Arabidopsis thaliana: one gene and its partners. The protein of the gene in region 4 purifies or fractionates together with the protein of the main gene of each other region. This does not show direct contact. Each region holds a gene or a part of one and is shown on either strand. Other genes may lie near its edges.

What was found.
Region 1: the proteins of ROF1 (region 4) and PREP1 fractionate together in Arabidopsis thaliana (co-fractionation; one large-scale study listed by BioGRID). This does not show direct contact.
Region 2: the proteins of ROF1 (region 4) and RANBP1 fractionate together in Arabidopsis thaliana (co-fractionation; one large-scale study listed by BioGRID). This does not show direct contact.
Region 3: the proteins of ROF1 (region 4) and SIRANBP fractionate together in Arabidopsis thaliana (co-fractionation; one large-scale study listed by BioGRID). This does not show direct contact.

Annotation. Positions count from the first base shown.
Region 1 is NC_003074.8:6,625,108-6,635,215, forward strand, and holds PREP1 (presequence protease 1), read right to left. Parts: upstream 7,058-10,108; 5' UTR 6,768-7,057; coding exon 6,482-6,767; intron 6,216-6,481; coding exon 6,041-6,215; intron 5,667-6,040; coding exon 5,492-5,666; intron 5,364-5,491; coding exon 5,231-5,363; intron 5,151-5,230; coding exon of another isoform or gene 5,113-5,150; intron 5,101-5,112; coding exon 5,030-5,100; intron 4,808-5,029; coding exon 4,724-4,807; intron 4,628-4,723; coding exon 4,537-4,627; intron 4,426-4,536; coding exon 3,905-4,425; intron 3,828-3,904; coding exon 3,663-3,827; intron 3,593-3,662; coding exon 3,374-3,592; intron 3,302-3,373; coding exon 3,174-3,301; intron 2,938-3,173; coding exon 2,748-2,937; intron 2,087-2,747; coding exon 2,003-2,086; intron 1,915-2,002; coding exon 1,817-1,914; intron 1,643-1,816; coding exon 1,378-1,642; intron 1,289-1,377; coding exon 1,126-1,288; intron 1,041-1,125; coding exon 860-1,040; intron 769-859; coding exon 697-768; intron 613-696; and 3 more. Other genes in the region: PARC6 (plastid division protein), read left to right, coding at 7,703-8,005, 8,305-8,418, 8,496-8,633, 8,709-8,813, 8,905-9,027, 9,238-9,606, 9,709-9,804, 9,949-10,065. UniProt on the Arabidopsis thaliana protein: ATP-independent protease that degrades both mitochondrial and chloroplastic transit peptides after their cleavage. Also degrades other unstructured peptides. Specific for peptides in the range of 10 to 65 residues.
Region 2 is NC_003076.8:23,678,733-23,685,223, reverse strand, and holds RANBP1 (RAN binding protein 1), read left to right. Parts: upstream 1-3,288; 5' UTR 3,289-3,509; coding exon 3,510-3,661; intron 3,662-3,790; coding exon 3,791-3,942; intron 3,943-4,029; coding exon 4,030-4,155; intron 4,156-4,675; coding exon 4,676-4,905; 3' UTR 4,906-5,161; downstream 5,162-6,491. Other genes in the region: PMR5 (Pmr5/Cas1p GDSL/SGNH-like acyl-esterase family protein (DUF828)), read left to right, coding at 184-355, 438-616, 690-848, 944-1,280.
Region 3 is NC_003070.9:2,189,957-2,196,697, forward strand, and holds SIRANBP (Pleckstrin homology (PH) domain superfamily protein), read right to left. Parts: upstream 3,881-6,741; 5' UTR 3,733-3,880; coding exon 3,578-3,732; intron 3,458-3,577; coding exon 3,306-3,457; intron 3,200-3,305; coding exon 3,074-3,199; intron 2,658-3,073; coding exon 2,404-2,657; 3' UTR 1,723-2,403; downstream 1-1,722. Other genes in the region: AT1G07135 (glycine-rich protein), read right to left, coding at 201-668; MAPKKK13 (mitogen-activated protein kinase kinase kinase 13), read right to left, coding at 4,323-5,822.
Region 4 is NC_003074.8:9,185,457-9,193,355, forward strand, and holds ROF1 (rotamase FKBP 1), read left to right. Parts: upstream 1-2,724; 5' UTR 2,725-2,800; coding exon 2,801-2,984; intron 2,985-3,068; coding exon 3,069-3,155; intron 3,156-3,337; coding exon 3,338-3,598; intron 3,599-3,686; coding exon 3,687-3,761; intron 3,762-3,853; coding exon 3,854-3,934; intron 3,935-4,023; coding exon 4,024-4,218; intron 4,219-4,302; coding exon 4,303-4,395; intron 4,396-4,509; coding exon 4,510-4,685; intron 4,686-4,777; coding exon 4,778-4,900; intron 4,901-4,976; coding exon 4,977-5,123; intron 5,124-5,218; coding exon 5,219-5,346; intron 5,347-5,477; coding exon 5,478-5,572; coding exon of another isoform or gene 5,573-5,574; intron 5,575-5,672; coding exon of another isoform or gene 5,673-5,675; coding exon 5,676-5,719; 3' UTR 5,720-5,963; downstream 5,964-7,899. Other genes in the region: AT3G25240 (sulfate/thiosulfate import ATP-binding protein, putative (DUF506)), read left to right, coding at 7,084-7,899. UniProt on the Arabidopsis thaliana protein: PPIases accelerate the folding of proteins. It catalyzes the cis-trans isomerization of proline imidic peptide bonds in oligopeptides.

The DNA of each region.
Region 1 (10,108 bases), 2.6 Mb from region 4:
TTTGAGGAAAAATGGGAAAAAATGAATTTACGAAAGAATCTAATAGAAAGTAACACATGCTAATATATTTTCGTAACATTTGTCTTGTCGCAATGCAATAAGTCATTACGAAACTACTTGGATTTTTTTTTCTAGGGTTGTTGTCTTCGGAAATTTCAGCATTTTTCGCCAACTTAATTTTTCAGGGGTTTTTGTTTTCCCGTTGGCGATTTAGCATATGTACTTTTATCAATTTTTAATAAAATTAAAACTGACCAAAAAGAGCAATGTGGAAAGGGAAGAAAATGAGTAAATTATTTTAAGGTTGGACATTGGTTGTGAAAATGCTTCATTTACTGTGAAAATTCGTAACGTTTGGACATTCAATAATATAGCTTTGACAAGACATTGACTCCGGTAGAAAAGAAACCAAGAGAAATCTAATGAGATTCTCAATCGTAAATAGTATTACTGAAAGTTGTCCAATCTGTTTAGAGAGCTTTCTTCACCTCGAAAAAGTTGGAGCGTTCATTGTTCGCTGCATCAATGTCTTCCGCGGATGCCACAGCCACCGCAACACCTTTATCTCTAACCACATCTATTGCTTGTGCGAAATCCTTGAAGTCCTTCAAACTGTGGAACAACAAAAGTTAATTAACACTTTTAGTTAGGATGCAGAAGAAAATTTATTGAGAGAATGTCCTTAATTTAACCAACCTTGTTGTTAGTATCTCTTCACGCTTTCTTTGTCGTTCTTCGTCAGTTACTCCGAGTAAATGCCTCAACAAACTGGGTGAAAGAGATTCAACAATTTTGATTCAGGATCCGTTATGTTTGTTCAAATAGGCAAACAGAAACAAAATAAAATAACATCATTTACCTGCTATAACCTTTGGCATCAGGTAATTGGTATGAATCAACATCACCGATGGTGCCAATAATAGCTTTAGTGAGTGTTTCTTGATCCACATCAAGGCCACGTAAGAAATCTCCAGTTCCATCATATATATCAAGTGTCTTCAACAAGTTTGGATCCCGGTACGATAAGTAAGAAAATACTCCTGAACAAAGATATGGCCAATAGAAGAATATATTAATTGACGTAACTCTTTTCATATTCAAGAGAGTAGAAAGCAGTTATTGTACCTGAATGCGAATCGAAATCACAGAAACCTCCATATGCACCACCACTTACACGAACACGATCCCATAACCATGTATTGCTAATATGCTTTGATATAACATACGCACTGCCATCAAGCTCATACCCGGTGCTGTATATGTTACCCGCTTTTCCAACATAGTTTACCTGCAAAGGGAGTATGAGAGCGAGTTACTGTATCAAAAATAATAAACCCAACCACATTCTATATTACTATATAAACGTCTTTTTTTTACCTGGGTTGGTATTACAATGGCTTCATTTCTCAGAGGAAGTCGACCATCCCAAGTGACAAGCCCACCAGACGGGTTCTCAGGGAGTAAATCTAGAAATTTTGCAACAGATTTTTCGACATTTGTGAGAGACTTCCCATCAGCAGTCATATTAACTATGCAACCGTTTCTAGCAAGGAGAGATCTTCTGATCTCCTCAAGCGAGGATGAAATTCCTTCCCAGTCTTCATCCACTTTCTTTTCAAGAGTATGTAAAAATTCAAGATAGCTACAAAAGAGAGATGCTCAACTTTGTTAGGTTCTACAAGTATCAAAAGAATAGTAGAGATAAACTCTAAAATGTGAATAAAGTTCATTCTCAACAGAGATCAAGACCAGAGAGAGAAGACGATATAAATAAGGGCCAAATTAAAAGTTAAATAAACAATTATCAAATTCCAACCTGAGACCACCCATCTGTTCAGACATCCATCCAGCAATGTTCAACATTGCATCCATCCTCGCCGCAGCAATTCCATGACCACTTCCCCTCAATCGGTTCTGCATAGAATGTGAAGTGATGTTTATACTACTACTTTCAAGTTCCACTTATCATGCAAAGACAGAAAAGAAAACCCCTACTACATACCTCCATCCGTGCTCTGCTTTGAGAGACAAACTGTTTAAACCTCTGCTGATCTGTAAATTGAACCTCTTGCAACAAGCAGTTCATCTGCAGGAAGACAAAAAGCAATGAAGATAAGAGCCAACCTAGAAGTTTGACAGAAAAAAAATCGAATATGGGATTGAATAAATGTCTAGTTGGATCATGGTACTGATTCATGAAAGACACTGAACATTTTGAAAAGTTCTTCAATCACCATACGCTACAACTGTTTCTATATCAAGGTTACATTATATCTTAACAGAAAAAAACAGGTTTGCAGTCAGAGTGACTGTTACCATAATCCAGTAGTCATAGGCTCATAGCGAAGACATCGAGAAAACATCAAGTACTTCTTAGAGAAGAAAGAGACAAGGGCAAAGAGATGAGAGAGGCAGCGCTTTTGTATTTTGGAAAAACAGGAAAAAAATAAAGATCTACACAGTGTCACAGACTCACAGTAACAGCTGCACTGTATCTCATGGAGACCCAAGCAAAAGAAAAATCTATCAGGTAGACAGCTCTACACATCCCATAACCTAACATACACAAATCTAAACACAAGCAAATTGGTAAACTACATTTAGCAAACTAACTACAGGGCCATGGAGACCGAAGAAAACATGATCGTGATCACGTAGGCAGCACTATATATCCCATAAGCCAACATACATAAAATTAGAGAAAAATGCGATAAGCTAAAGCAAGGGATTTTTAAATGACAAAGTACCAGGTTAAAAAGGTCGTCAGCACGCCCAGCCATGGATTTTCCGCGTACGATAATTTTGCTGCATGGTTCATCCTTACCCCTCACTGATGATGTAAGGGGATAAACTGATATCCCTCCCGTTTTCCTTCCAATCAACTGATTAAGTTGAACAAAAGTCAAATCTTTTGTGCCCATCTCCAGTAATGATTGACTGTCAAAATACATTTATTATCAGAGTTAGTATATCAATACAGTATGAACAGAAGTAAAACATTCGTTATTACAGCTGTCAACGTACACCCTAAAATATAAAAAAATTCCCATGCTTTTGAAAATGCATGGCAGAGAATCTAACAACATTCTTCATTTAGCATTCCCACCATACACATTTCTGGAAAAAGTTGGTAAGAAACTCATAAAGAAATCATAAGAAATCTTTAATCATACCAGAAAAGTGGTACTAGTGGAAGAAGCTCATGTTTCAGCGAACCAATATCAAAGACTACTTCAGTATAGATAATATCATTGGTGAAAAGGTCATGCCGCAAAACCTTCACACCATTAATATCTCCAACCTATTGTTTAAAACATATCAGTAAACTTCGCAAGCTCGGGAAATAAGGAAATACAACAAAAACAAAAGCAACCTCGGTGGGAACATAAGTAGGTTCTTTTGGAATGTCACCCAAGTTCAAACTTGGGACACATCTCAATGCTTCAGGAGGGTCAGGAGTTTCTTGTTTCAATTTCAGCTCCTCTGTAGCACGTGCTAGCTCTGCAAGATCTTCTTCTGTCATAGCTGCTTTAACTTTTTCCAGGATATTTTTCTCTTCCACTTCCTCTTGAGTAGCTTTTTCAGGATCAGGCTGGCAAAACTAGTGTTAGCACAAAAGCAAAGAAACATTATATAGCAACGAGAAACTTGTAAAAGATCACCTGCATCTCTATGGTAACACGATGCGAGTTGTTCAAGATAAGCTTCTCTATCAGTGGGGAAAAGACAGCCTTGGATCCCTCCTCAGCTATTCTGGTTTTCAGGGCCTTCAATGGTTCCGTATACTTTAATGGCTCAAAAGGATCCATATCGTATATCCATTTTGACTAAAAAAAACAATAATCAAATAAGGAGTGATACCTGAATAGACATACACGTAAGCATAAAATGCATATTAACTTACAATAGATTGGAGCATAAGTGATAAACCACGAGGGAAAGATCCTGTGTTGTTTTCCCTCAAAGAAAACTCAATTGTATTCATGGATGCCTCCACAGCATCATTGTCAAACCCTTCTTCTGCCAACTTTTTCAGAGTATCCATGATCAACTCTTCAACCTTTTGAACATTCTCTTCGGACACACCTTTCAAACCAATACCGAACTGGGGCTGCAAGAGTTCGTCTGACAACCCACTACTGACAAGAGCTTCTCCTAAACCGCTTTCCAATAAGATCTTTCTTAGTGGTGAAGCAGGAGTCCCCAGCATAAGATGATCCAAGAAGCCAAGTGCAAGTTGAGTTTGCAAGTCCAAGGGCTTCTCAGACAATAGCCAGTTAACGCACAACATATGCTTCTTTTTAAGGTCACCATCTCGACCAGCAGGATATTTCTCAACCAGTCTGACAGGCTCAGAGAATAGCTTTTGAAATTTAATCTTTGAACTATTGGGAGATGGACTTGCTTCAAACATATCCAAGTATTCTGCACATATAAGAAACGCAGGGATAAGATGTATTTCAAATCGACATAGACGACAAACACAAAAAATATGAGGATTCTTTCTAGTAAGACAAAGGAGATATCAATCTTTACCACTCAAGACACGGAGGCGGTGAACGGGATCATCATCTCCATAGAACCAGATCCTGGCGTTGCTTGGGTGATAATATTGACGGTGGAACTCCTAAAATTGTCCCAAAACAAGAAATATACTTAGTATGCATCAGAAGTTACACATTACAAGAAATATACTAGCATATTAATTTGACTTCTAACAAACCTTGAATTCCTCAAATGTCAGATTAGGAATATCTTTTGGATCACCTCCACTGTCAACACCATATGTATTTTCTGGGGATAAGGCCTAATAAAAGTGAAAACAGTAGTAGCTGATTTCATCAGAACCACTATATCAAGGAAATTCAAATATGTCTCAGATTATCTAACAAGGTTTTTGTTCCAAGTGTCCAAACGACTCTTTCATGATGGCTATATCATTTAGTTGATTAATAAGGTCAAAACCCAAGATCAGGTTAAACCAACAACGAGAAACTTCTAGTTATAGTAAGCAAAACACAATACTTGCCTGTTGAGCAATTCGCCCTAAAATATTATCAGGCTGTGAATAGACCCCTTTCATCTCATTAAAAACAACACCTGAAATCAAACATCAACAATGAGATAGGATGAGTGGGTATCTGAAGTAGCTGATAAACTAAAAGATATCATCGATACTAAGAAAAGTAGAGGAAAAGAGCTCTAAAATGGAATCCTAGGTAAATAAAACCTTTGTAAGATATGTCTTCCGAGGGATCATTAAGTTCATAGTGCCAGCCCTCTTGCTGAAAGGTGTGAGCGTCATCCACACACTTGGGGAAGAAGACAGCATCCAAATATACATCGACAAGATTGTAAAAATCCTACCATAGATAGTGATAGTGATGAGTTGTGATCAGAAATAGACTCACTTTAGATAACAATAACAGAAAGAAAGAGGTTAGCCCACTGAGGACAACAAAAGAAGGACTTAATGTTTGGCTCATTGTACCTTTGTATTGGTGGAAGCAACTGGGTAGCAGGTCCTATCAGGATATGTGAATGCATTTAGAAAAGTATGCAAACTTCCCTTGAGTAGTTCAACAAATGGCTCTTTTACCGGGTACTTTCTTGACCCACATAGAACGCTATGTTCCAGTATGTGCGGAATGCCAGTGGAATCCTTCCTGCATTAACAACGAAACTATGATCTAAAATTGCTTCCATTATTAGTTTTTGCAAGTCTTTCACAAGGAGGTGCCTGTGGGACCAATATCTACTGAAAGTGCAGTTGCTCATATCGACTTTTAACAAAGCGTTAAGTAATTTGACAAGTTGTAACCTCCAAAACTTAGACCACTTTACAAGTACCAATATATTAGAAGAAGAAACGAAATGACTAGGTCTAATCAGAAAAAAAAAGCTTTGATGAGTAGAGATAAACTTGACCATTTCAATTAGTTAAATTCAAGGAGTGAAGCTTTAGGTACCAATTTCAATTGCCTAATACATACTCAGGTCAAATTTACAGAGAGTAAAAATTATTATGAAGTAAACTTACGGAGGAGTTCTGAAAACAACACCGAAGACCTTGTTCTCATCCTCATTTGACACAGACATCACCTCGCAACCAGTTTTCTTGTGTTTGAAGAGTATCGCCTTTGATTTACACTCTGAGATGAATTCTTCCGACACTTTTTCAAATCCAAGCTTCTCAGCCTCATCTTGACCTACATCTGAATCCAAACAACCAAAAATAAGGAAAATCACGCATCAGCAGAGGTTACACATGGCTCCATTTGATTACAAAGTAGACACAAAGCATGAGATGAAAAATGCACCACACGGACCACACCTATCTACAATTCACAACCTATCCTAAAGTAAGAACCACAATTTCACAAGTGCCACAAATCAACATGTCCGAATTAAGAGAACAAATCAATTAGCAATTAAACTTCAAACAGATTGAAAAAAAGAAGTATATGTGAAAAATTCCAACCAGGATAAAGTGGAGCGGGTTGTGTGGCGACGGCGCGAACAGAGAGGCGAGAGAACTGCCCATTGACACTGCGAACTGCGGCGGAGGGAATCCTCAAACCTCGTCGGAGCAAAAGACGTCTACCGGCGACTGAGGGAGAGGAAATTCGGCGAAGATTGCGACTGGGGACACGGAGAGCTGCCGTCGACGATGTGAGAGACATGTAAGAGCGAGGGAACTGACGAAAGAAGCGAAAGAATAGAGAGGACGAGCTGCGCGAAGCTAAACAAGAGACGGTTCGGAGCATAGCTACCGGAAAAAAAATATTCCCGGCGGAGACTGCTACTGACGGAGACGAAATTAAGGATATTGCAAAGAAGCTAAATAAACCCAACGGCAAGAGGTTTTATCCTTGTGTAGTTGTGTGTTTTTGCTTGTAGAGGAAAAAAGTAAAATAAAATAAAATGAAATACCTCATTTCTTGTACAACACACAAAATTATTGTGAAAAATATTCTCTATTTTACTAAATTGGCATTTTATTTTTCTGAATTTTTAAGTCGGGACAAAAAAGAGGTGCTGATTTGCAAGAAAGGAAACGTGGTTCTCATATAGCCAAATGTGTTTGAGTGTTGCAATTTGCTATCCTCCAAAAATATAATGACTACAAAATATCTTAAATCTTTTTTCATGATATTAAACTTAAGTGAAAGTATTACAAAATCTGATCAAGTTAAAAGTTTACACCAGACATATACTTTCCAGGTATTTGATTCAGAAAAAATCATATTGATCAGATTTAAACAAATTTTAAATTATATATAAGTTTTTTCTTACACACAAATTAAACCTTTGATCAGTACTAGACTACTGGTAGCATGCGATGAGCTTGCAGTAGTTTCTCTCGCACATTAGTTATGGGCCGAGAGCTAGGCCCATGTCCAGGGACGGATAAAATAATCTTCCAGATGTTTCTTTATTATCCACGTGGCGTGATCACGTGACCACGTCTCGTCTCGTCTAGTCCTAGATTAGCAGAGCCTCTCTTTCGGCCAGCGGGTTACCTTATTATCGTCACAAGACGAAACTTTCAGAAAAAGGCAAAAATCACTGTCAAAACTCAAAAGCCTTGAGACCAAATTTCCGATTTTTTCTCCTCTGAAGAAATCCAACAAATTGTACCATGATTCCAGCTTCACTCTACTTCTTCTAGGGTTCGTTCGTTTTCTGGAGCTGTTGCGCAATGCCAGTAGCTTACACATTTCCAGTTCTCCCTTCTTCTTGTCTGCTTTGCGGAATCTCCAATCGCAGCACCAGCTTCGTCGTAGATCGCCCGGAGCTTCAGATCTCAGGTCTCCTCGTCGTTCGTTCTGAATCCGGTGAATTCTTCGGTTCTGGTTTATCTTTGCGGCGGTTTCAGCGAGAAGGACGGAGGAGGTTGAATGCTGCTGGTGGTGGTATCCATGTCGTCGACAATGCGCCGTCTCGTACTTCTTCTCTCGCTGCATCTACCTCTACAATCGAACTCCCGGTTACGTGTTACCAGGTATTTTGCTCCGACTGACTTACTTTTCGGAATCTCTGTAGATACTACTATCTCTCGCGATTTGCTACTTAGCTCCTCGTTGAAGTGCAAGTGGAACTTGTTTTTATCCTTCTAAATTTTGTTGAAATAGAAACATTTTCCTCCAATTTGTAGTCTCTAGCGCGTAGAACGAGATGGATGTATTGATTTGGCAATTTAATATTGTATCATAGTTCATTTCTGCAATAGAGTGTAAAGAATGTAGCGTTTCGTTTGTTAGACATTATTCCAGGATACTGTTAATTGTATTGATTTTGCAGCTTATCGGAGTTTCTGAGCAAGCTGAGAAAGACGAGGTCGTTAAGTCGGTTATAAATTTGAAAAAAACTGATGCTGAAGAGGGTTATACAATGGAAGCTGCTGCAGCTCGCCAGGTTAAGACCTATAGTATCACTAGAGTTGGACAGGGAATGTGGCTTCAGTTTCTTGATACTTTGTTCTTAATGTGTAGGATCTTCTCATGGATGTTAGGGATAAACTTCTTTTTGAATCAGAATATGCTGGTAACCTAAAAGAAAAGATTGCTCCTAAATCTCCTCTCAGAATTCCGTGGGCATGGTTGCCTGGTGCTCTATGCCTTCTTCAAGAGGTACTACTTCTGACCTTTTATTGCGTTTTATCCCTGCAAATGTTTTGTACTGATCTTTCTGCTACTATGCTTCAGGTTGGACAAGAAAAACTTGTGCTGGATATTGGCCGGGCTGCTCTCAGGAACCTTGATTCAAAGCCATATATTCATGATATATTCTTATCTATGGCACTTGCTGAGGTAAAATCAAATGAACTAAGAATGGGAACTAGTTATCTACTTTCACTATCCTCTGCTTCTTCTATCTCTAATATGTTTGTTTTCCATTTAGTGTGCAATTGCCAAGGCTGCTTTCGAGGTTAACAAGGTCTCTCAAGGATTTGAAGCTCTTGCTCGTGCTCAAAGTTTTCTGAAGAGTAAAGTTACTCTTGGGAAACTTGCATTGTTAACTCAGGTAACAGGTTCTACTGTCTTGCATTAGTATATATAAAGCTTCTCTGAGTTTACTTTTAGCCCTGTTACTGGCTTGAATTATTAAAAGTGCATGATCATGCCTTACTGTAAATCGCATCATGTTTAGGAGCTTCACATATAAGTACGTATTGTCCAAAAGCATAATTTACCAGCATATTGGGTTTTAAGGGGTTAAAATTGATATTTATAGATTGAGGAGTCACTAGAGGAGCTTGCACCACCTTGCACATTGGATCTACTGGGCCTGCCACGCACGCCAGAAAATGCAGAGAGGAGGCGAGGTGCAATTGCCGCGCTACGCGAACTGCTCAGACAGGGCCTTAGTGTTGAAGCTTCATGTCAAATTCAAGACTGGCCATGCTTTTTGAGCCAGGCAATTAGCAGGTTATTGGCCACAGAGATTGTCGATCTTCTTCCATGGGATGATTTAGCCATTACACGGAAAAATAAAAAATCACTGGAATCCCACAATCAAAGAGTTGTTATTGATTTTAATTGTTTCTACATGGTGTTACTTGGTCACATCGCTGTTGGATTTTCAGGCAAGCAAAATGAAACGGTATATCTCGTTTTCTTTCCTTTTGTTAAATTTAGACTGATTGGTCCATTTCTTCTCTACTCTATCTGCTTATAAAGCATAACATTCAGTATGCTTGTGTAGATTAATAAAGCAAAAACGATATGCGAATGTCTCATAGCATCAGAAGGTGTTGATCTGAAATTTGAGGAAGCTTTTTGCTCATTTCTTCTAAAACAGGTATTTTTCCTCTTGCTTTCTTTATTCTTTTTCCCTATCAACTATGCTTGTGCATCTTATTTACTTCAAGTTCACTTGCTTCGAAAGATCCTTGCGTTGTTCATTTAGTTAAGTGCTACTGGACCTACATGTTGGATAGCACAGGGTTCCGAGGCAGAGGCCCTGGAAAAACTTAAGCAGCTGGAATCAAATTCAGACTCTGCCGTTCGTAATTCGATCTTGGGGAAAGAGTCGAGAAGTACTTCTGCTACTCCCTCACTGGTAAACCTTATGATTTTTACCAAGAATATGTGTTCATTTGTTG
Region 2 (6,491 bases), on a different chromosome or scaffold from region 4:
ATACCTGTGTCGTTATTGGTAATGAGGTTCGATTTCGTCAGAATTTTACTGAGCTAAGTTGTCAAAATGTATTCTTTTGGCAAACCCATTTGAAAGAATTCTACTTTAAGATATTACGACTGCTCAAAATCAGAGATTCTGTGGTTTTAGTGTTTGATTTCTGGTCTTTCACAAATGGATTAGGTTCAATGGTGCTCAGTTTCTGTTGAAAATGAAGGGCAAAACCATAATGTTTGCGGGTGATTCATTGGGGAAGAATCAATGGGAGTCTTTGATCTGCCTTATTGTTTCATCTGCACCGTCCACTCGGACAGAAATGACCAGAGGCTTGCCTCTCTCCACCTTCAGATTCTTGGTAATGCTTTCTTCTTATTCTTCAATGGCTCACATCTTGTTTTTCAGGTTCTTCTATAAGAAAACTGTTTTTTGATGTATAGGATTATGGGATAACAATGTCATTTTACAAAGCTCCGTTCTTGGTGGACATAGATGCTGTTCAAGGCAAGCGTGTGTTGAAGCTGGATGAGATCTCTGGTAATGCCAATGCTTGGCATGACGCTGATCTCCTCATCTTCAACACTGGTCACTGGTGGAGCCACACCGGATCTATGCAAGGGTAAGTTACCACACTTCCAATGACTTGATTTTCTAGTGTGAAAGTTTCTTTATATATCTTCTTGTGAACACAGATGGGACTTGATTCAATCAGGCAATTCTTATTACCAAGACATGGACCGTTTTGTGGCAATGGAGAAAGCACTTCGTACTTGGGCGTATTGGGTCGAAACTCACGTTGATAGATCCCGAACACAAGTCTTGTTCCTCTCCATTTCTCCAACACACGACAAGTAACTCAGCCTCTCTTGTTATATTGGATCATATTTTCTGATGTTTTTGAAATGAATGTCCTGACACCATTTGTATACATTTTGGGATTGATCAGCCCGAGTGACTGGGCGGCATCATCGTCTTCAGGATCCAAGAACTGCTACGGAGAAACAGAACCGATCACAGGAACAGCTTATCCAGTGAGCTCCTACACAGATCAGCTAAGATCAGTGATTGTTGAAGTGCTTCACGGGATGCACAATCCGGCGTTTCTTCTCGACATAACACTCCTCTCTTCCCTAAGAAAAGACGGTCATCCGTCAGTATACAGCGGCCTCATTAGCGGTTCACAAAGGTCTAGACCAGACCAGTCTGCAGATTGTAGCCATTGGTGTTTGCCTGGTTTACCTGATACATGGAACCAGTTGTTGTATACGCTTCTCATCTATTAGCTTCTTTTTAAATCTCTTTCCATCAAATTATTCGGTTAGTAATATTTTAACACATTCGAAGAGAGAATCTTAAGATTAATCACGGAATCAGTCAATTGTATAAACTTTTTGAGGAAATTTTCTTTCAAATGAATTATAATTTTTATTCCATGCAAACAAAGCATAGTAACAAGAAATTTAACAATGGCAAGCCCAAAACAAACAGTATTGGGCTTTTAAAAAAATACATTCGATGGGCTTATTGGAAAAAAGCCTTTTAGGGTTTTCTCAAAACCTCTCTACTATAAATAGAGGAAATCCAACTTTAGAGTTTAAGAAGAAGCAATCCAAAATCAATTCACTGAAAAGCTTCGTTTTTAATCCTGTAGTTTTCATAGGGTTTGGTGTTCTCTCTATTGTTGTTATTGGGCTTGCCTTTTGTCTAGGATTATCATGATTTATGTTTATTGAAAGATTGGCTTCATCAGATAGTCTATGTGGATTTGTTCGTTCCCATATGATTCGTTCCCTTGAAGCAAAATCAATCGTGTTGCTTTCGTTATTTATATAATTCTCCCTATGAATCTTCGGTGATTTCGTATTTATACGATTTTTGCTGATGTTGATTTGGGAGAATCACAACTGAGCAGCTATATATTATTCGTATTGAAATCTAGATTTGGGTTTTTGTATAAGTTTTTGGAAGAACAGTGATGAGTCAGTTTACAGACCTGTAATGATTGCGGTAATGATCGCATTATTATGAACATCTAAGGGACTGAGTTCTTCTTTCTAATATGATTTAACAACTTCAATTTGTTTTTGTTGGTTAATGTTTTTTTGTTTAATCTGATAAAGAGGCTGATGAAGATTAGATATTAATGGTTACTGAAATTTCAATAAGTGTGTTGATATACTATCTTCTTGACTAGGACTGCTGAGGCTAATCTTTGAATTCTAAGGAATTATGTTTTCTCTTTTTGATTTAATGAAATTAGATTGTGGATGATGAGAACAAATATGAAAAAACAGTTATCCCTGTCTGAGGATTTTAATCCCTTTGATGATTCATTTGTAATCTGACACAACCTTCCAGTTCATATCGTTTTGGGTTTTGCTTGTTGACTATTTATTTCAGACCCTAAATTATACAAACACGAAGATTTGTCATTGAAACAACGCAGCTTCATTCAAAAACGGATTTTAAAATTGGAAATCAGACAAATGACTAAGCGGGTCCCTTTTGACTTTAGCATCAATATTCAATATTACCGTGCCAGTAATAAGAGTTCTCGAGTCCATGAAATGATGTTGTATCAGTTTTCGTTCAGCATTTCAATAAATTCACGATGTTTTGGTCAAAATATCTTACTACCTATCGACTGTTATCGGACTTCAGGTTCTACTCTTTGAGTCGTCGACAATGAAAACGTTTCTTTTTCCTACTGTAACGAGAAGGCAAACAAGTGGTATTTTGTTACGATAAAAAACAGGTCAAAAAAAAAATTTGTTAATTGAATGTTTAACACGTTTCCAAAATTTATAAATGTTCATATTCAGCTTACATTGTACTAGCATCGGCAGTAGTTGATTGAATACTAGTGTCGAGTGACATCAGCTTGATATCAAAGCATGATTGATTACATTATATAATATCCATTTGTAAATAATCCACCTCTCAAAAAAAAAAAAATTAATAAATAAATAATCCACCTCCGTTCATATATAAAGATTGTCACGGTGGTCTACCTTAACACTACAAAGGCAGTCCACGACTGAGAAAAAAAAAGCAGTTCAAATTTTTTTCGTATGTGTTAAGGATGGAGTACATTCATAGAGCATCATCTACATTCTACTCCAAGATAAATGTGGAGTATCTGTATTACTTTTAGTTTTGTAAAGAGATTATACATAATTTAAATATGGTACATTACTCATTACAGGTCTTTGAGCTGTGGCGTTCCTTAGCCATGATGTTTCATCCTCTATATTGTCGATACGAGTTCACACTTTCTAGCTTCATCTACATACCAAAATCATGAATTGTCGTATAGGGCCTTAATGGGCTTAAATGACCGAGATAATGACCTGTTAGCCCACTAGAGATAATTCAGAAGCCTAACTTTGGATATAAAGTTTAAAAACCCTGGTTCCAGTTTTTTCTTCTGGTTCTCGAAACTTCTTCTCCCAAATTGAACAACCAAAGAAGTTGCAGAGCACACACACACACTTTCAAGTTTCAATACAGAGATGGCGAGCACTGAGCCAGAGCGTGAGAACCGTGAAGATGAAACCGAAGTCAACGAAGATGAAGACACCGGAGCTCAGGTAGCTCCGATCGTTAGGCTTGAAGAGGTTGCAGTCACCACCGGCGAAGAAGATGAAGACGCCGTCCTCGATCTGTATGTTACTCGTTCCGTTAATATTCTAGTTTCCTTGCCTCTGGTTAAAGTGAGTGTTGGATTTTCGATAGAAGATGAGTGTCGGATTTTTGATAGAAGATGTATTCTTCTGGGTTTATGATTTTGTAGGAAATCGAAGATGTATCGATTCGATAAAGAAGGGAACCAATGGAAGGAGAGAGGAGCTGGAACTGTGAAGTTATTGAAGCATAAGGAAACTGGAAAAGTTCGTCTTGTTATGAGACAATCTAAAACCCTAAAGATCTGTGCCAATCACCTCAGTATGTTTGATTCTCTCTCGAAGAAGATCTTTTTTTTTTTTCTTCGAAAGGGCTAAACTTTATGTATCTTTTGTTGAAATTATGCAGTTTCGTCTGGGATGAGTGTTCAGGAACATAGTGGGAATGAAAAGTCTTGTTTATGGCACGCTACTGATTTCTCCGACGGCGAGTTGAAAGATGAGCTTTTCTGCATTCGATTTGCTTCCATTGAGAGTAAGTTTATACTTGTGAAATTCGTATACTTGTTTTTGATTGAGAGTAACGTGGGTACATTTAGTAGTATTCGATGTTTAATTTATGATAGTTGAATCAGGGAAGATGGTTTGGAAGGTATTCTTTATAAGACTCTAGTTGTGATGATTTAAGTCTCCCATGAATTGTGATTCATCAAGTCCATATAGATAGCTCAAGACTGAAATGGAATACTGCTTTTGTAGTGGCAATACTTATAATGTTGCCTCATTTTATAATTTTAGGGAGACATTGTTGTCTTGAGAATAAACATCTCAGGCCATTTTCCAAGACTCTGTTGGTCTCTGCGGTTGTGGGTCTTATCACTAAACAAATGAACAAAAGGGTTCCATGATCCTTAAGTTGTGCTAAACAACTACCATAATCGTATCTATGTTAAATTAGACGCTGACATAATCTATGAGATTAATATCCTAGGGTCTGCATCTGTCTTTTTGGTTTTAGATTCTCGAGTGGCTAACTGATAGTGTTGCATCAACAGATTGCAAAACATTTATGGAGAAGTTCACTGAAATAGCTGAAAGCCAGCAAGTAGGGAAAGAGAGCACCCAGGGCGACGAGGCTGCTGGTTTAATAGAGAATCTTTCGGTTGAGGAAAATATAAGTGAGGAGAAAGCCAAGGAAGCAGAAGAGAAAGAGCCTGCAAAGGAAGATAAAGAAACAAAAAAGGAGAAGGTAGAAGAAGAGAAGAAAACAGAGGCAAGCACTTAAGTGATCAAATTAAAATTGGTTGTTGGCATCACTAAGTGTGCTTTGCTTTATTTTAATATATTATACTTGGCACTGAACATGATGGTAGCTTCAAAAGTTTGAGTCTTTGCGCTGTGTTAGAGAAAGAGAATCTTAAGATTTTTTTTTATGTTGTTGCTGTGTAAGTGTTTGACTATTGTGTCGTCTCTTTACTGTGTCAATTTGGTTTAAGATAATAGTATTCGGCATCAAATTAGTATCCTTGCTTTCATCTTCAATCATCCGAAATGGATTTGTGGCCAGCAGGTTACACAATCTGTAATTGACATGTTTGGTGTTGCAGCAAAGGGAACAATCATGTGGTGCTTCTAAGAAGTAAAAACTAGTTAGTTAATTTTGGACCCAACAAATTTGTATGGACCCTAAACCTATAATTCGAAAGGCTCCACCACAAATAACACCATGTTTTAAGCACTTCTCTATCTCTCTTTCACCATTTAATTTCCTCTGACCATGAGCTGTTCCTGCATTGAATATCAGATTTTATCTTTTATGCCTCATTTCTAAGTACCCTTGTATGTGTTTTTCTAAACGTTTATCTTCACAATAGCACTAGTAAGTGGATGTATGATAATTGATACTTTGATGTATGTGCCAACTATTTCTTACATACAATTGTACATTGTAGGCTACAATTTGTAGCACAACTATATTATTACTATTTACTAGAAATGGCGAAAAAAACAAACAATACCGAACATCAAAGTCGAAACTAAACTTTTATAATAAATCATATTTTTTAAAAATCATATTTTAGTTAATTATATGCAAGAATACTTATATTTATATGATTATACGATTATATCCAAACCAAAACCAAAATAAAATGTGGTTTTCTAACTCCGACTCATTTCTCAAAAGTGAAAAGAACCCAAAATGCTTAAACCAAACCAAATCAAGGAACTGAACGCATAAAGCTAAGAGTTACAACATGACCAACAAGGAACAAAAGAAAATAGGTCAAAAAGAAGTAAAGAAGGCTAAATGCTTGGAAGTTGGAAAAATAAAGGCCCAAAATAAGGAGTAGTGTTGTGGTGTTGGCAACTGCAATTGCAATCCTTATTTTATGGGAAGAAGAGTCACTTTTGGTCAATAAAGTTCTTATTATAGACTCCAAATCTCTCCCCCCCCCCCCCCCTCACCTATCTACATTTATATCTTTCTTATTATTTCCATGACTGCCATTTTCATGGAAAGTCATTTTCTCGCACCTGTTTGACAAACAATTATTATACCACTCAAGTACAATACCTGCACTTCTATGTGAATAATGCAAAAATATAAGAAAACTCTTAAATGACCCTTAAGCTAATCGAAATTTAGGAAGCATTATTCTTTTATTCTTTAGTACTATAGTCTATAATATTGAGAAGTGAAAAAAATTATCATTTTAGAGAATCATGGGGATTTGTTCCCTCCGTCGCCTTGACGAGTCACTTAGTTTTGAAGATTTACCATCAAAGACCCTCCTCGGCTCCTCGTGGTTAGGTCCTGCGCACATCGAATATATATGTCGCAGGTATAGATGATATGATACTATAATATAT
Region 3 (6,741 bases), on a different chromosome or scaffold from region 4:
TAAATTTCCATTTACAAATGGCATACTAAAGATAACTCACTCTTAATACTACCAGTAGAATCCTGCTAAGAATCTCTTTCTACATATAATATTAACAGTCTACACCTTAATGTACCGTTTGCCCAAATAAATATCAGACCGGACCACAAACATAAACGTTACAAAACCAATAAATAAATGGCCAATAATTACTCTGAACCCTACTGAACCAAGACTAAACCGGCTAAAACCGATAAAGCCAACCAACAGACCGCACACATTGTTCCTCGAAGATTCATGCTGCCGCTTGATCTATGTGATCCTGCCGATCCACCACCCAGACTGCCATTACCACCACCCGTATGAATCGGAACCACCCCTCCGCCGCGTTTCCAGTCACGGCTGCGGCTACTACTGCTGCCACCTCCTCCTCCCCTGCTCCTACCGCCGCTTCGTGCTCCACCGCCTCCGCGTCCTCCACCTCCTCCACCTCCTCCTTTTTTGATAACGACAGCTAATTCCCGAGCCTTTCCTTCAAACACAACAACGTCTGGCTTTGAAACACTAAAAGGGAGAGTCTCGTGGTTTGTATCGACTGAGGAAGGTCGTGAGCTCACGGAAGGAAGATTGTGCTGAAGATGAAAGATGAAGAGAATGTACAAAACCAACCATGTTCTTCTCAAACCCATTTTCTTTATCTTTTCTCTTGTTTTGTCTGTATTATATCTCACTTTCCCCTTTGATCTATTTATATAAGCCTCAGAAAGAAATTAAACGCGGCAAAAGTGGTTGCCAGCAGTTTCGACGTAGTCTCTCATTATGATGCTGCCACGAAAATATCCAAAAAAGATTTATTTCTTTTTTAAAAAAAGAAATATCCAATAAAGATTTATTATACTTATCCATATTTATATTTATTGACCTTTGTTTTAAACAATATAGATTTTATGAAGGAGCACACAAACTAAAAAAAAAGTAAGGTTAATTAGGAGATAAGTGTTTCCAGATGTCGTGGATGGAAAAGAATTAATCCATCTAAATTCATTTCTGGTATCATGTTAATGAAAAATCAGTTAGATAGCAAATAGAATAAAAATGAAGGAAATAAATAGCATGATTATAAAAAGGTTTGGCCGCGTGTACAAGTTGACTGTCAGGGTCAATTTTGGGTTATAGAGCAAAGAAAAGTGGACCATATTGATGACAACTTTCACATGTCTACCATTCTTGATTTTCAGAATTTGAATCTTTTGATATGTTATATTCCCTAAATATTTATCAGGAAATATCTTATTACAAAACCTGATATTTTCTGTCAATTTGTTTTTTTTTTTGTAAATTATTTTTTAAATAGCACACAAATATTAATGTGTTTAAAGTTAGAACTCAAACCAATTTATTGCGATTTTCTTAAAGAAGTTTAGATAATAAGACCTAAAGTGAAAACAGAAACTATTTTCTTCTTTTTAGGGTTTACATATATTAAATTATAAGTAACCTGTCATCTTTTTAGTGAATAATCAATTTTTTTTTCCATAAAAAAATCTTACAAAAAAAAAAAGTTGACATATTTGAATTTATCCAATTAAGGGGGTATAATTCAATCAAATTAAAATTTAAAATCCAAATTTAATAAAGTTTGAAATCCAAGCAATTCATTGTTATGTTTAAATATGGTGTTATAGGAATGGTTTATATGTTTGTATTATTCCAAATTTATTTTAAAAGTGTTATAAATTTAATAAAATCTTAACCTAAGCATAATCCATTGTTATTCATTCACATATGGTCTTACTGGATATGATTTATATAAATCATGCTTTGGTAATTTTAGCACAGTATAGTACAATGTCATTTTTTTTCCGTGAACAGTTCGTTATAACTGAAGAATTTTATGAATACTGTTAATATACATTTTGGATCTTTATCAGGGTCAAGACTAGCATCGACTAACACAAGAGAGCAAAGTAGATTGGCAATTACCTTTTTTTTGTCAAACAATTGGCAATTACCTTAAGATTAAAAAATCACATGCATTAAATTTTGAAAAAAAAAAAATGGAGACTTCTGATTCTTGTCCATGGACAAACACATTTGTATCCTCAAAATAAGACCATCCAAAAAGGATCCATGAGAAAACTTAAAACAATGAAACCAATGTACTCTTTCAGATAACCAACATGAAAAAATATTTCACCCAAATCTCTCATATCACCCGACACTTTAGACTCAAAAACTATTAGACCCATAACGACTCAGCATTCAGTAAAACCCGACCCCAAGCGATCCCCCAACCACTTGATATGACTCGACAAAACATGTATAGATAGATAGTGCCAAGACAATGGTAGACTCATGATGCATCAAAACATTTCGAGGCTTAATTACCTCGCCAGGATTTGGCAACTTAAATGATGACGCTTCTTATGTTGAGGGACCACTTTCTTCTGTTTTCTTTGCTTCACCAGATTTCTCTGCCTCGCTCTCTTTCTTTTCTTCTGCTTTCACTTCAGTCTTTGCCGTCTCCACAGCTTTCGCTTCGGTTTTCTCCTCCGTTTTTGTCTCTTCCACAGTCAATTTCTCAAGAAGGCCAGCAGTGTCAGCGGCATCTTTGCTCTCTTCTTTCTCTTCTTCAGACTCAGCAACTTCCTTGAACTTTTGCATAAATGTTTTGCAATCTGACAAGGAAAATAAGATTTGATTACCCACAAGCATCTCTACTTTTCCCGGTTAATATGATCAACAGCTCAGAAACTACTGATAATATTTACCCAAAATAAAAAAAGAAACAGTCGACCATGTTGGCATATCAAATTAGTTGCAGCCTAAATACATACTTGACCACCTCAAGAACAATATTATCTCTTTACAATGCAATACCACAACCTAACCGCCACAGTACTTATTTTGATATTTCCTGAACCCAATAACGCATGCCTATGATGGAAGCTTTGAGAACCTCCAATTAACAAAGTAGCCATATAGCAATGCTAAGGTCAAGATCCATCAGTAATCTAATCCGTGAATCTATCAAACCAACTGAGACTAAATAAGGCAAAACACAAGCCATTACAAAATTCGGTTTCATACTCACTCTCAATAGAAGCAAATCGGATACAGAAAAGCTCATCCTTGAGTTCACCATCAGCAAAGTCACGAGCGTGCCACACACATGACTTTTCATTCCCAACGTGTTCCTGAACACTCATGCCCGATTTAACTGCAGAAATATCAGAAGCATAAGACTAGATAAGGAAACAGTAACCTAAATACAGATCCAGATGCAACTCAAAAACAACACAAAGTAGTCCAAATAGAAATTATACCGAAGTGATTAGCACAGATCTTCAAAGTTTTAGATTGCCTCATAACGAGACGAATCTTCCCAGTGTTCTTATGCTTTAAGAACTTCACAGTACCAGCTCCTCTCTCCTTCCACTGATTCGCATCCTTATCGAATCGATAAAGCTTCGATTTCCTTTAGATTCACAAACAAAAATTCAGTCAAACACACCAAAAGCTAAACCTTATAAATTCGATCAGATCCAGTTGACCTAGATCAGAAAAACTATAAACACCAATTAAGAAAAACACTTACAGATCAAGGACGGCATCTTCGTCTTCCTCGCCGGTAGTGACGGCAACCTCCTCAAGCCTAACGATCGGAGCGACCTGAGCTCCGGTGTCCTCATCCTCGTTAGCTCCGGCCTCTTCCTCGTCTCTGTGCTCGTGCTCGGGTTCGTTGGTCGCCATAGTATTTACTGAGATTTCCTCGTGGATTCAATTGGTCGCTACGGTGCGGCGTACGCGAGAGAGATAGAGAGAAGAGAATTTGGGGGTTTCGCAACACAGGAAATCGGAACGACTCATAGTTATACGGCGTTGAATTGAAGCTAACTATGGGCCGATTTCTTATGACAAAAAATATATATGGCCCATATAAACCCATTGTATCTGGGTTATTTTTAAAGCTATTTATCTCAAGGGAAATTAATCCTTTTTTAGAGAAATCTTAATGATTTATAGCATAGAGATTAGAGAAAAATCTTAAAGATCGAAAAAAGAATATGATGATATGCTTGAGCTAAACTCTATGTAACGACTTCGTTCAGTTTGATACATAATCGTACATGCATAACCTTGGTCCTTCAGGCCTAGTCGAAACAAACAACCATCTTCAACCGGTCCGGTTCCCTCTATGATTCATTTAAATGCTCCAAAATCCGAATACTTATTAGGATGAATCAAAAGTCTTCTAAAGCATAAAACCAAAGTCTCTTTTGGCCTCTTGAGTCTTCCACCAGCTTACGAACCAAAACCATTTGTCGCAATATTTTTTCACATTAAAATACAACTATTTGGCTGTAAACGAGAGTTATCAATATAAGGCAATGGCTCGTAATTAAGACACTCGATCTCATCTCACCGCGTAAAAGATAGTTTTGTCCGATCCGAATCACATGTGCAAACAAACAAAACTTGAGGCTGTGATTAAAAGACAACGTTTCGAGTTTATTGCTTTGATTATACTGATACAACAAATACATAGTGAGAACAATTTCCCTAAAGATACATGTAGTATAAACCATAATTTCCATTAATAAATGTAAAACCACCACAAATTCATATGGCAGCGCCGCCGCCGATCCCCCGTTTCCAGGCGGTAAATTCTGAGACATAGAAACGTCAATTATCGCCGAGTCACCAGCCACGTCATCGTTTGGATCCGATGATGTGTTATATTCCGATTCTACCCTTGTGGATCCCGAATATTCCATTGTTGTCCCTTCCTCTTCCGAAGCGTGGCATCTAACTTCCACCCAACCATCTGACTCCCAAATTACTCCTCCGGTCGTCGCCAAATTACAAATTATTGCCTTCGCCGCGTCTTCGAATTCTGATCTCCCTACTTCCTCTTCTTCTTCTTCTAAGTCAAACCCCGAGTTGACCCAGTCAAGTACGCAACGCGGAGATGACTCAGTCGGAGATGAGTTGTGACACTGAGAGAGAAATGGATGCTGCAAAAGCTGATCGCAACTCCACCTCTGATTCGGGTCTCGCTTCAGACACTTTTCTAGGAAATCACGGCCGATTTCCGACAACTTCGAGGGGAAAACCGGTAACTCGTCAGAGAAACTGATTCGACTCAGCGAGTCAATTCCGTGGTCTTCCCAAGCGGGTTTCCCAGTGAACATCTCGATGATCGTGCAGCCGAGAGACCAGACGTCACTCTCCGGACCTTGGTACTCTCGTCTGATCACCTCCGGAGCCATCCAAAGCGGACTTCCACGTGGCGTGATCAGAGCCCTCGGTGTGTGGATTCTGAACGCCGACCCAAAATCGGCTAACTTGACCATGGAGCTTTGGCTGACGAGGATGTTCCTCGCCTTGACGTCGCAGTGAACGAATCCTTGAGAGTGTACGTGGCGGAGAGCAGAGACAAGACACGCCGTGTAACGCTGGAGCAGAGTCTCGTCTTCGATTTTTCCTCCGGCTCTGTGACTAGCCACGTCACCGTTTGGGAGATACTCTAAGTAGAGATTCCTAAACGTCGTCGTTCCTTCTTTCGAGACTCCGTCGCCGAGAAACTTCACGATGTAAGGGTGAGGCTTTAGCGAGCGGAAGACAGATATTTCGTTCTCGAGAGACTCTGATTGAGTGGGGAGACTCGTGGCGAGATCCACGGATTTCACGGCGAAAACTTCACCGTTGGTTTTGCTGATCGCCGTACTAACTGCACCGAAACAACCTCTGCCGATACACGCACCACGAACCCAAAAAGAAGATGGTGAGGATAACATTAAAGAAGAAGAACAAGTGTTTCTGATGCTCTGTTTCTCCATGTGTGCCAACTTTCATATGTCGTACTTGTGCAACACGAAGCTATTTATATGCGTGTTTTGGAACTGCAAAACAGAAAATGTGAACGTGAAATAAAGTTGCAATTTTTTTTGTTTCTGACATGGACTATTCTTGTACACTTGTCTTTTCGATTTGTAAAGTCTCATCTTTGTAAAATTTCCCACGTGGATATGTCATGTACAACACAAACTTTCGAGTCTATCATTAGATTTTTGAACAAATTATACCATGTTCGATGGTCGGTTTGGATTTTAACAATTTTAATTATATATACATCTATTGAAATCTAGACTTAATCCTTACAAATTTTTTACTTTTATGGAATGATTAGTCGTTTTGAAAAGAGAACAAATAAATCAGAAAAAGGATCATTTTAGAAATTAGAAGAAAATGTTTTATGTCACTCCTAATGACACTTGGAGAAGTTCTTGGGATGTTTTTAAGAAACAATGCACTTGCCCTGTCTCCTTAATCCTTATCCACCAAGACTCAAGTTGCGGTTTGATCTTGTCCGCTAATATTTTACTCAGCAAAGATAAAATCACACACACCCTCTAGCTTCACGCAATCGTTTTCGTTTTTATAACCTCAACATTTAAAAAATCGTCTCTTTACTTAAGTGATCGGATCACCGATCGTGGAGAAGACAAATGAACAAAAACGTGCCTATAGATTTGGAACGCTTGATTTATTGACTTATTTCTGGTATGTTTCTATTTGGTTGACCTGAAGACATGATCAGACATGGAATATACGGTAGTCGACGTACGTACAAATCATTATCAAGGATTCATGAATCCAAACCATGTCTTAGCCAATCATAAGCAATGGACATAAATTAATTTATATTCGTCAAACAATTAACATAAAGAAGGTGAGGGTGTACAGTAACAGAATATA
Region 4 (7,899 bases):
GTATAATATATGTATGCTCTCGGATACAACAAGAGCTAGCAGCTAATCCCACAAAATCTTGAGGTTTGTTACTTACTGGATGAGGGTTATGGATGAGTTCATAATCTACGATTTTAACTCTGATTCATGGAGGGTTCTTGATGTCACTCCAGATTGGACGATAAGTTATATGAACCTTGGCGTGTCTCTCAAGGGAAATGCATACTGGTTTGCTACTGAGAGATATTCCGAAACAGACGATTATTTCTTAGTCTGTTTTGATTTCACAAGAGAGACATTTGGGCCTCTTTTGACTCTTCCGTTTGTGTTTGTTAAATCTGAAGATGTTATGTGTGTATCTAATGTTAGAGAAGAGCAGCTTGCGGTTTTATATCAGCCGTGGGATAAATAAAAGATGGAGATCTGGATTACGTCTACGATTGAGCCCAACGCGGTGTCGTGGAACAGCAAGGTGTTCTTATCAGTGAGTATAAGAAAACTCATTGGCCCTCCGTTTCAGTTTTGTTTGGGGAGTTTCTTCATTGACGAGGAGAAGAAAGTCGCTGTGGTTTTTGATAAAGACTACAAAGATAAGCGCAACATAGCTTACATCATTGGAGACTTTGGAGTCGATGGATCCTTTAAAGAAGGGATCTCGGAGAATCAGCCTACGCAATGTGTTACCCACTTATGTGCTCTTATGTTCCAACTTCCAAGTCTAGTGCAATTTAATTAGTCGACCATCTACTTCTTGCATATTTTTGCTCGTTTTTTTTTCCTACCTAACCATCTAGTTCAAACATTATCTTTTGCTAAAGTTGGGAAGTGTGGTGGAAATGTCTTCTCCTTTTTTTTCTTGTAATGAGTCTTGTACGGTGGTGGTTATATCGATCTACGTCGGTTGTGTTCCCCTCGGTGATCTCGACCTCAGCGTAGGTGGCGATCAATGTTGGAAATGAAAATTCCTCCTCTGGATTATCAGTCTATCTTTTATTGGTATATTGCCATATATGTCTTCATATGGTATTCTGCTATCTTTCAATGAACATCACAAAAATAGTGATGCTTAATGTCTTCATATGATTCCCCTAAAGTTAGTGCTTTTGTGTTTTGTGTGACATATGGGATTGTCATATATATTTCGAATCTTTTTCGTTTGTTACACAATTAATTGCCTTAAAAAATTCAAACTATTAATTAAAAAGAAAAATCAGATAATTAAAATTCAGTGGCAACTATTGTAAATAAGTACCAACTCCAAGATTTATTTCACAAAATGGCTGCAAAATGTATATGTAGATATTTAGCTTAAGGAGGAGTCTAAATTTAACTTTAGAATTTTTTTAGAATATAATGTATATTAGAGTAAAAACATTTAGAATATACATATAAGGATTAAATTATATTGTGTATTATTTTTTACTGCATAAAATTGATTTGTAATTTTGAGAAATATAAGATAAATTTGCAAAAATTAACGAATTGGAAGATTGTTTTGCAAAAAATCCAAATATTTTGATATAAATTATTTGATCTATTGTTACCATATATTTTTGAACCATTTAATCCGTATTTTTCCTTGAAATGTGTTTGATATGGTTTATTTTGCATAAACAACTTGATTTGTGAATTTCATTTTCCTATTTGAAATCTCTTTACTATATAACTAGCCTTGTTGGGCGCGATCCACATATGTATTATATGATACTTTTGCTCATTAGTTAAAAAAAACAAAATGAATAGTTATTAGTCAAAACCCAATGTAGAGATATTGCCGACGTAGTCAACACATATGAATATGATATGATCCTGCAAAAAATTTTAACGACGTTAGAACCTAAAGAACATATGTGTTCTGGAACCACCTTTCTGTCACTTAACTCTGTCATCACCTTTCGAATAAATGATTTAAGGAGTTCTCTAGAAGACTAGAATCTTCCGTAACCTAAAACTCAACCTCATGTAGAAAGACTCACAAATCCAATTCCTCTATTCTCCTGCGAAAAACGGTTTCTTTATATCTCTCACGATTTGATTTCCTCTTCGCTTTTTTTAATTGAATTGAGATTGATGGATGATAATTTTAATTTCAAGATTTTTTTGTTAATCTTGTAATGGAAAATATTAAAAATAATTGCTTCAATATTGCAAAGCTTTGATATTTTAGAAAACAATTTTATTTAATAAAAGTGATATATATATATATATATATGTTATAGTATATTAAAAGTAAATTAGATTTAAAAGAAAGTGAGTGTATAAGAGACAAAACACGAAAAAAAAAATATGATTGAGGATGACAAATGGATTATAATTTCATATATATACATAATGAATTCAAGCTTGTAACTTATGAAAATTTAGGGGGATAATTAATACTCAATTCTAGATTTATTTATTTGCAACGTATCCATCTATACCTAGAGAATTTTTAATAATTTGTAAGCAAAAAATCTTGAAAGACCACAAATGGATTTGAATTTGTTCTGGATTTGTACTGTGATAATCCATTTTGCTTTGCTTGATTAGTTTTTACTTTTTACCATTGGTAATAATTTGGGATCATGTTTAGTTGTTTACTAGATAACCAATTTTGTTGGGCCTGATCCAACAATTTTGCCGATTATAAAGTAAATAAGTGAATAGTTAAGCCCAATATAAATTTACGAGTGACGGATCATCTGTGTTCTCGAACCATCTTTTTAACGAACTCTCTAGAACCCTTTTTCTTTTTCACCCAAAACCCAACCTCGTATAAATCTCACCAATCCATTTCTTCTCTTCTTCTTTGCGTTTTTTGTTTGGAACTGAATCGAAAAAGATGGATGCTAATTTCGAGATGCCTCCAGTCGGTGGAATGAACGACGACGACGACATGGATTTCGGTGACGGCGCCTCGTTTCTTAAAGTCGGTGAAGAGAAAGAGATCCAACAAGGTTTGAAGAAGAAGCTTCTTAAAGAAGGTGAAGGATATGAAACTCCTGAGAATGGCGATGAAGTTGAAGGTAATTAATTAATCGATTCAGATACTAATGCTTTTCGATTTAGGTTTTTTTGAATCGAAGCTTGAGCTTGATTTGTTTCTGCAGTGCATTACACTGGAACTTTGCTTGATGGGACGAAGTTTGATTCGAGTCGTGATAGAGCAACGCCTTTCAAATTCACTCTTGGACAAGGTTTGTGATTCTCATCTCCTAAAGACCTAATAGTTTCCGTATAGTTAGTAATCTGGAGAATTCGGTAGACTAATTTGATAGATATGAACTTGAATTGAGATATAGTTGTTGTTAAGTTCAAAATCGAATTTTTGTTGATGAATGTGTAATGGTTTGTGGTTGTTGGCATTGTGTTTTTGCAGGTCAAGTTATTAAAGGATGGGATATTGGTATTAAGACGATGAAGAAAGGTGAAAACGCTGTTTTCACTATACCTGCGGAGCTAGCATATGGGGAATCTGGTTCCCCGCCAACTATTCCTGCGAATGCTACGCTTCAGTTTGATGTGGAGTTGCTTAAATGGGACAGTGTGAAGGATATATGTAAAGATGGTGGTGTGTTTAAGAAGATTCTTGCTGTTGGAGAGAAGTGGGAGAATCCAAAGGACCTTGATGAAGTTCTTGGTGTGTGTTCACTCTCTTATGGCCTGCTTTAGAGGTTGGTGTGTGTTTGATTTTGCTAACGGTGTTTCCTGTGTATTTGTTAATTCAGTTAAGTTTGAGGCGAAACTTGAGGATGGTACTGTTGTTGGGAAATCTGATGGTGTGGAGTTCACTGTTAAAGATGGTTAGTGCTCTGAATTCTTTTAAGATATGATGGGATATGTTGGATAATGTATTCGCTCTTTGACATTCTTTGTGATCTATGATCATTAATAGGTCATTTCTGCCCTGCACTTACTAAGGCTGTGAAAACTATGAAAAAGGGTGAAAAGGTCCTTCTGACAGTTAAACCACAATGTAAGACGATTTGTCTCAATTGTTTTTTCACTGATCCTGGTATGGTGTGTATATCATCTCTTATTCCAATGTGCTTCTGAATGAGACAGATGGTTTTGGGGAGAAGGGCAAGCCAGCCTCTGCTGGTGAAGGCGCGGTTCCTCCTAATGCGACGCTCGAGATCAATTTGGAGTTAGTTTCGTGGAAAACAGTGTCAGAAGTAACTGATGATAACAAGGTTGTGAAGAAAGTCTTGAAGGAAGGGGATGGATATGAGCGTCCTAACGAGGGGGCAGTTGTGAAAGGTTTGCATTTCGGATTTTAGTACACTCATGTCTTCACCAGATATAACGGTTTCTTACGGGGTTTCATTTGTTTCTTTCTGGCAGTGAAATTGATAGGGAAACTTCAAGATGGTACTGTATTTTTGAAGAAAGGTCATGGTGAGAATGAGGAACCGTTTGAGTTCAAAACAGATGAAGGTAACTACACAGTTCCTAGTATTTTTCTGATAACTTTCCTTTGGATAGTTGGATGTGCTGGATTTTCCATGGCTTACTTAGTCATGGTAACTCATTTACTGGATGCTTAAACAGAGCAAGTTGTCGATGGACTTGATAGAGCTGTCATGAAGATGAAAAAGGGTGAAGTGGCATTGGTGACCATAGACCCTGAGTATGCCTTTGGTTCTAATGAGTCACAACAGGAATTGGCTGTGGTGCCGCCAAACTCAACTGTTACTTATGAGGTTGACCTATTGACTTTCGACAAGGTTAGTGAAGTATTTTGGATGCTTATGCCGCTCACAATTCAGTCAATATGGAAGTATAAGAGTCCAACACTTGTTTGTCATTGGCTTTTTAGGAAAGGGAATCGTGGGACATGAACACTGAGGAGAAGATTGAAGCTGCTAGTAAGAAGAAGGAAGAAGGAAATTCCAAGTTTAAAGGAGGCAAATATTCCCTGGCTTCCAAGAGATATGAGAAGGTATATGATACGAACTACTTATTGCTTTATGAGTTATAAGTCGAACAACATCTTACATGGTTAAGTTTCTTCTCAGGCTGTCAAATTCATTGAATACGACACATCCTTCAGTGAGGAAGAGAAGAAGCAAGCAAAAGCATTGAAGGTGGCATGCAATCTAAACGATGCAGCCTGCAAACTCAAATTGAAAGATTACAAGCAGGCCGAAAAACTATGCACAAAGGTAATAATAATTGGTTGTTAAGACCACAAGTCCTTTATGTCAGTTTTAAAGCCTAGCTGAACAAAACTGATGGAGATGGTGGTTTTGGTATTTAGGTGTTAGAGCTAGAAAGCACCAATGTGAAGGCCTTATACCGGAGAGCGCAAGCGTACATGGAGTTGTCTGATTTAGACTTGGCCGAGTTTGATGTCAAGAAGGCCCTTGAAATCGATCCCAACAACAGGTTTGTCTCTTACTCTTTAACTCTTATTTAATGTTACATTTGGCTTTTGTATCTTTTAATCCACAGCATGATAATGTCTTCTTTATATACTAACAGAAGACTAAATTTGCTATTTTATTTGCTAATGATAGGGAAGTGAAGCTAGAGCAGAAAAGGTTGAAGGAGAAAATGAAGGAATTCAATAAAAAGGAAGCCAAATTTTATGGAAACATGTTTGCGAAACTAAGTGTAAGTATCTCAATGGTTTGATCATATGTTATAAGTAGATGATAGTAGTTAGTGGGAATATGATGATAACCAAATCTTGTATTGGTGGGAACTTGCAGAAGGAATAATCAAAAGATGGAGAGGCAATGAGCACCTGAGGTCTTGAAAACGTTGCAAGAACTCTGCATTTTTCATTTTCTACTCTTTTGGTTTGTTGCAATGTTTTCTAGTTTTTCAACCTGAGCGTTAGTGAGACACTAAGACTTATAAAACAGTGAGAGATTATCCCAATGTGTTGCTTTTTTCGTCTGATTGTTGGTAGAAACTTGGAGCTATTGATAGCAAAAAAAACCTAACTTTCCAGATTAATTTGAGTTCTTAATATGATATCGAGACAAAATAGTTGCTTGTGCCGTTGTGTTGGACCTTTGGTGGACTTATACCACCGGGATGAATCATAAACCACTGATTCGCAATTACGGCTAATTCTACTGGTTTCAACGTGCAGCAAATAATCAATCACAACTAGATCATCTTTAGTGGTACGCGTAGAGTGTATTTCACACTCCAACAAATTTTTAAGAGCTCTACGAATGTGCACAAGGCTTTATTGATTATTGCAACGATGTCGCTTAGTTTACTTAATAATATGTTGAAATCCAAGATATTGAATAGGTAAATATCCCACTGATCAATACCAGCCAGCCCTCCTCATATAGTGAAGTTTTTTGTCATATTTATATGTAAGCTAGACATAGACCAAACGTAGCCAAAACCTCAAGAATTCCACCAAGAGGTAAGGGTGAGCCATCTGAGATCTCATTAGATAGTAGTGTTGATCGCTAACCATCTCGTACATGTCGGATTAGTAGGCTTCTCGTATGAGATTGATACGGGGTCAATCTCATATGACATATCATTGGAAGGTACCTTCCCTTACGAGATCTCGACAAATATCAAAACAACTACAACACTTTTCTTGGTAAAGGTACAACTAGGCCAATACCAGAAGAAGAAAAAAAATAAGCTCACCAAAGTTGCTGAAAATGCCTAGGTAATGAGACATGATTTTAGAAATCACTTGAAACCTTCGCTCATTTTGAATAAAAGTAAAGGGCATAAATGATTGATTGCATCAAATATATTTTTACTTTTCGGACAAGCTTTTACAATGGATTGGATATATTTTCTTGTGAGAAGAATAGAAAAGGGATATTCTATAACTGCTTTATATCTCGTGTCCGTCCACGTCACCACATCTGACGACTGGAATAATCCTCAGGTACCATCGGATATACTTTCCTAAGCACCGGTCTTACCTCAAATATAATGAGATAAAACTTTTTATTAAACCAAATCTTTATCTTCCCATAAATGGTAAAAACAAAACATAGAAAGCTACGAATATTCCAAGCTAAATTCTCTACTTAAGTTTTAGTTATAAATGTGATTCTCTCACCTTTTCACTTTTCACTAAAATTCTCATCAATCACACTATTATAGCTCTCAGCAATCATCACTCAAAAATCTATGGCGATTTTCTCCAGAACCAAACGTGTCACTGATCCACTTGACGACGACGCGAAGGCTCGGATCTTGAGCAGCCACAGTTACATCCTAGACCAAGATTCTCCTCGACTCTGCGAGCTCGTACACGGGTTTCTTGAGGATGGTCCTGAAGAGTCATTCTACGACTCTGACCCCGACCTGTCTGAGACTTCTTCAGCTGAACATTCTGGTGAAGCTAGTGTGGAGATCGTGAGAATGGCGGTGAGCTTCTCCGATTCCGATCCTTACCGGAATCTATTGCTAGCTCACGTTTTGAGAGCCGTGGAGGTATATTCCGGTTTTAGGTCAAGGAACAAAACTGTTTTCCGGGATAAGGTAGCTTCGTTTCTGCGAGAGCTTGGTCACGACGCCGCGGTTTGTGTATCAAAATGGACCTCTTCATCCAAACTCATCGCTGGGAGTTACCATTTCATTGACGTCGTTCACAAGCCGTCAGATAATGATCAGAAGGCCGTCCGTTACTTGGTTGATCTAGACTTTGCTTCGGAGTTCGAGATCGCAAGGCCAACGCGCGAATACACGCGTGGGCTGCAGCTGCTGCCTAACGTTTTCGTAGGAAATGAAGAGAATCTAAGGACGATCGTGAGAGAGTCATGCGACGCGGCGAAGCGATCAATGAAGAGCCGTGGCTTGTCTCTTCCACCGTGGCGGAGAAGCTCTTACTTACAGCATAAGTGGTTTGGTCCGTACAAAAGAAAGGTGGGATCTAGTTTGGGAGTGAAGCCGTTGAATAGTGACGCCGTTAGTTGCCGATCTTTAGGGTTTGATGACGGCGCC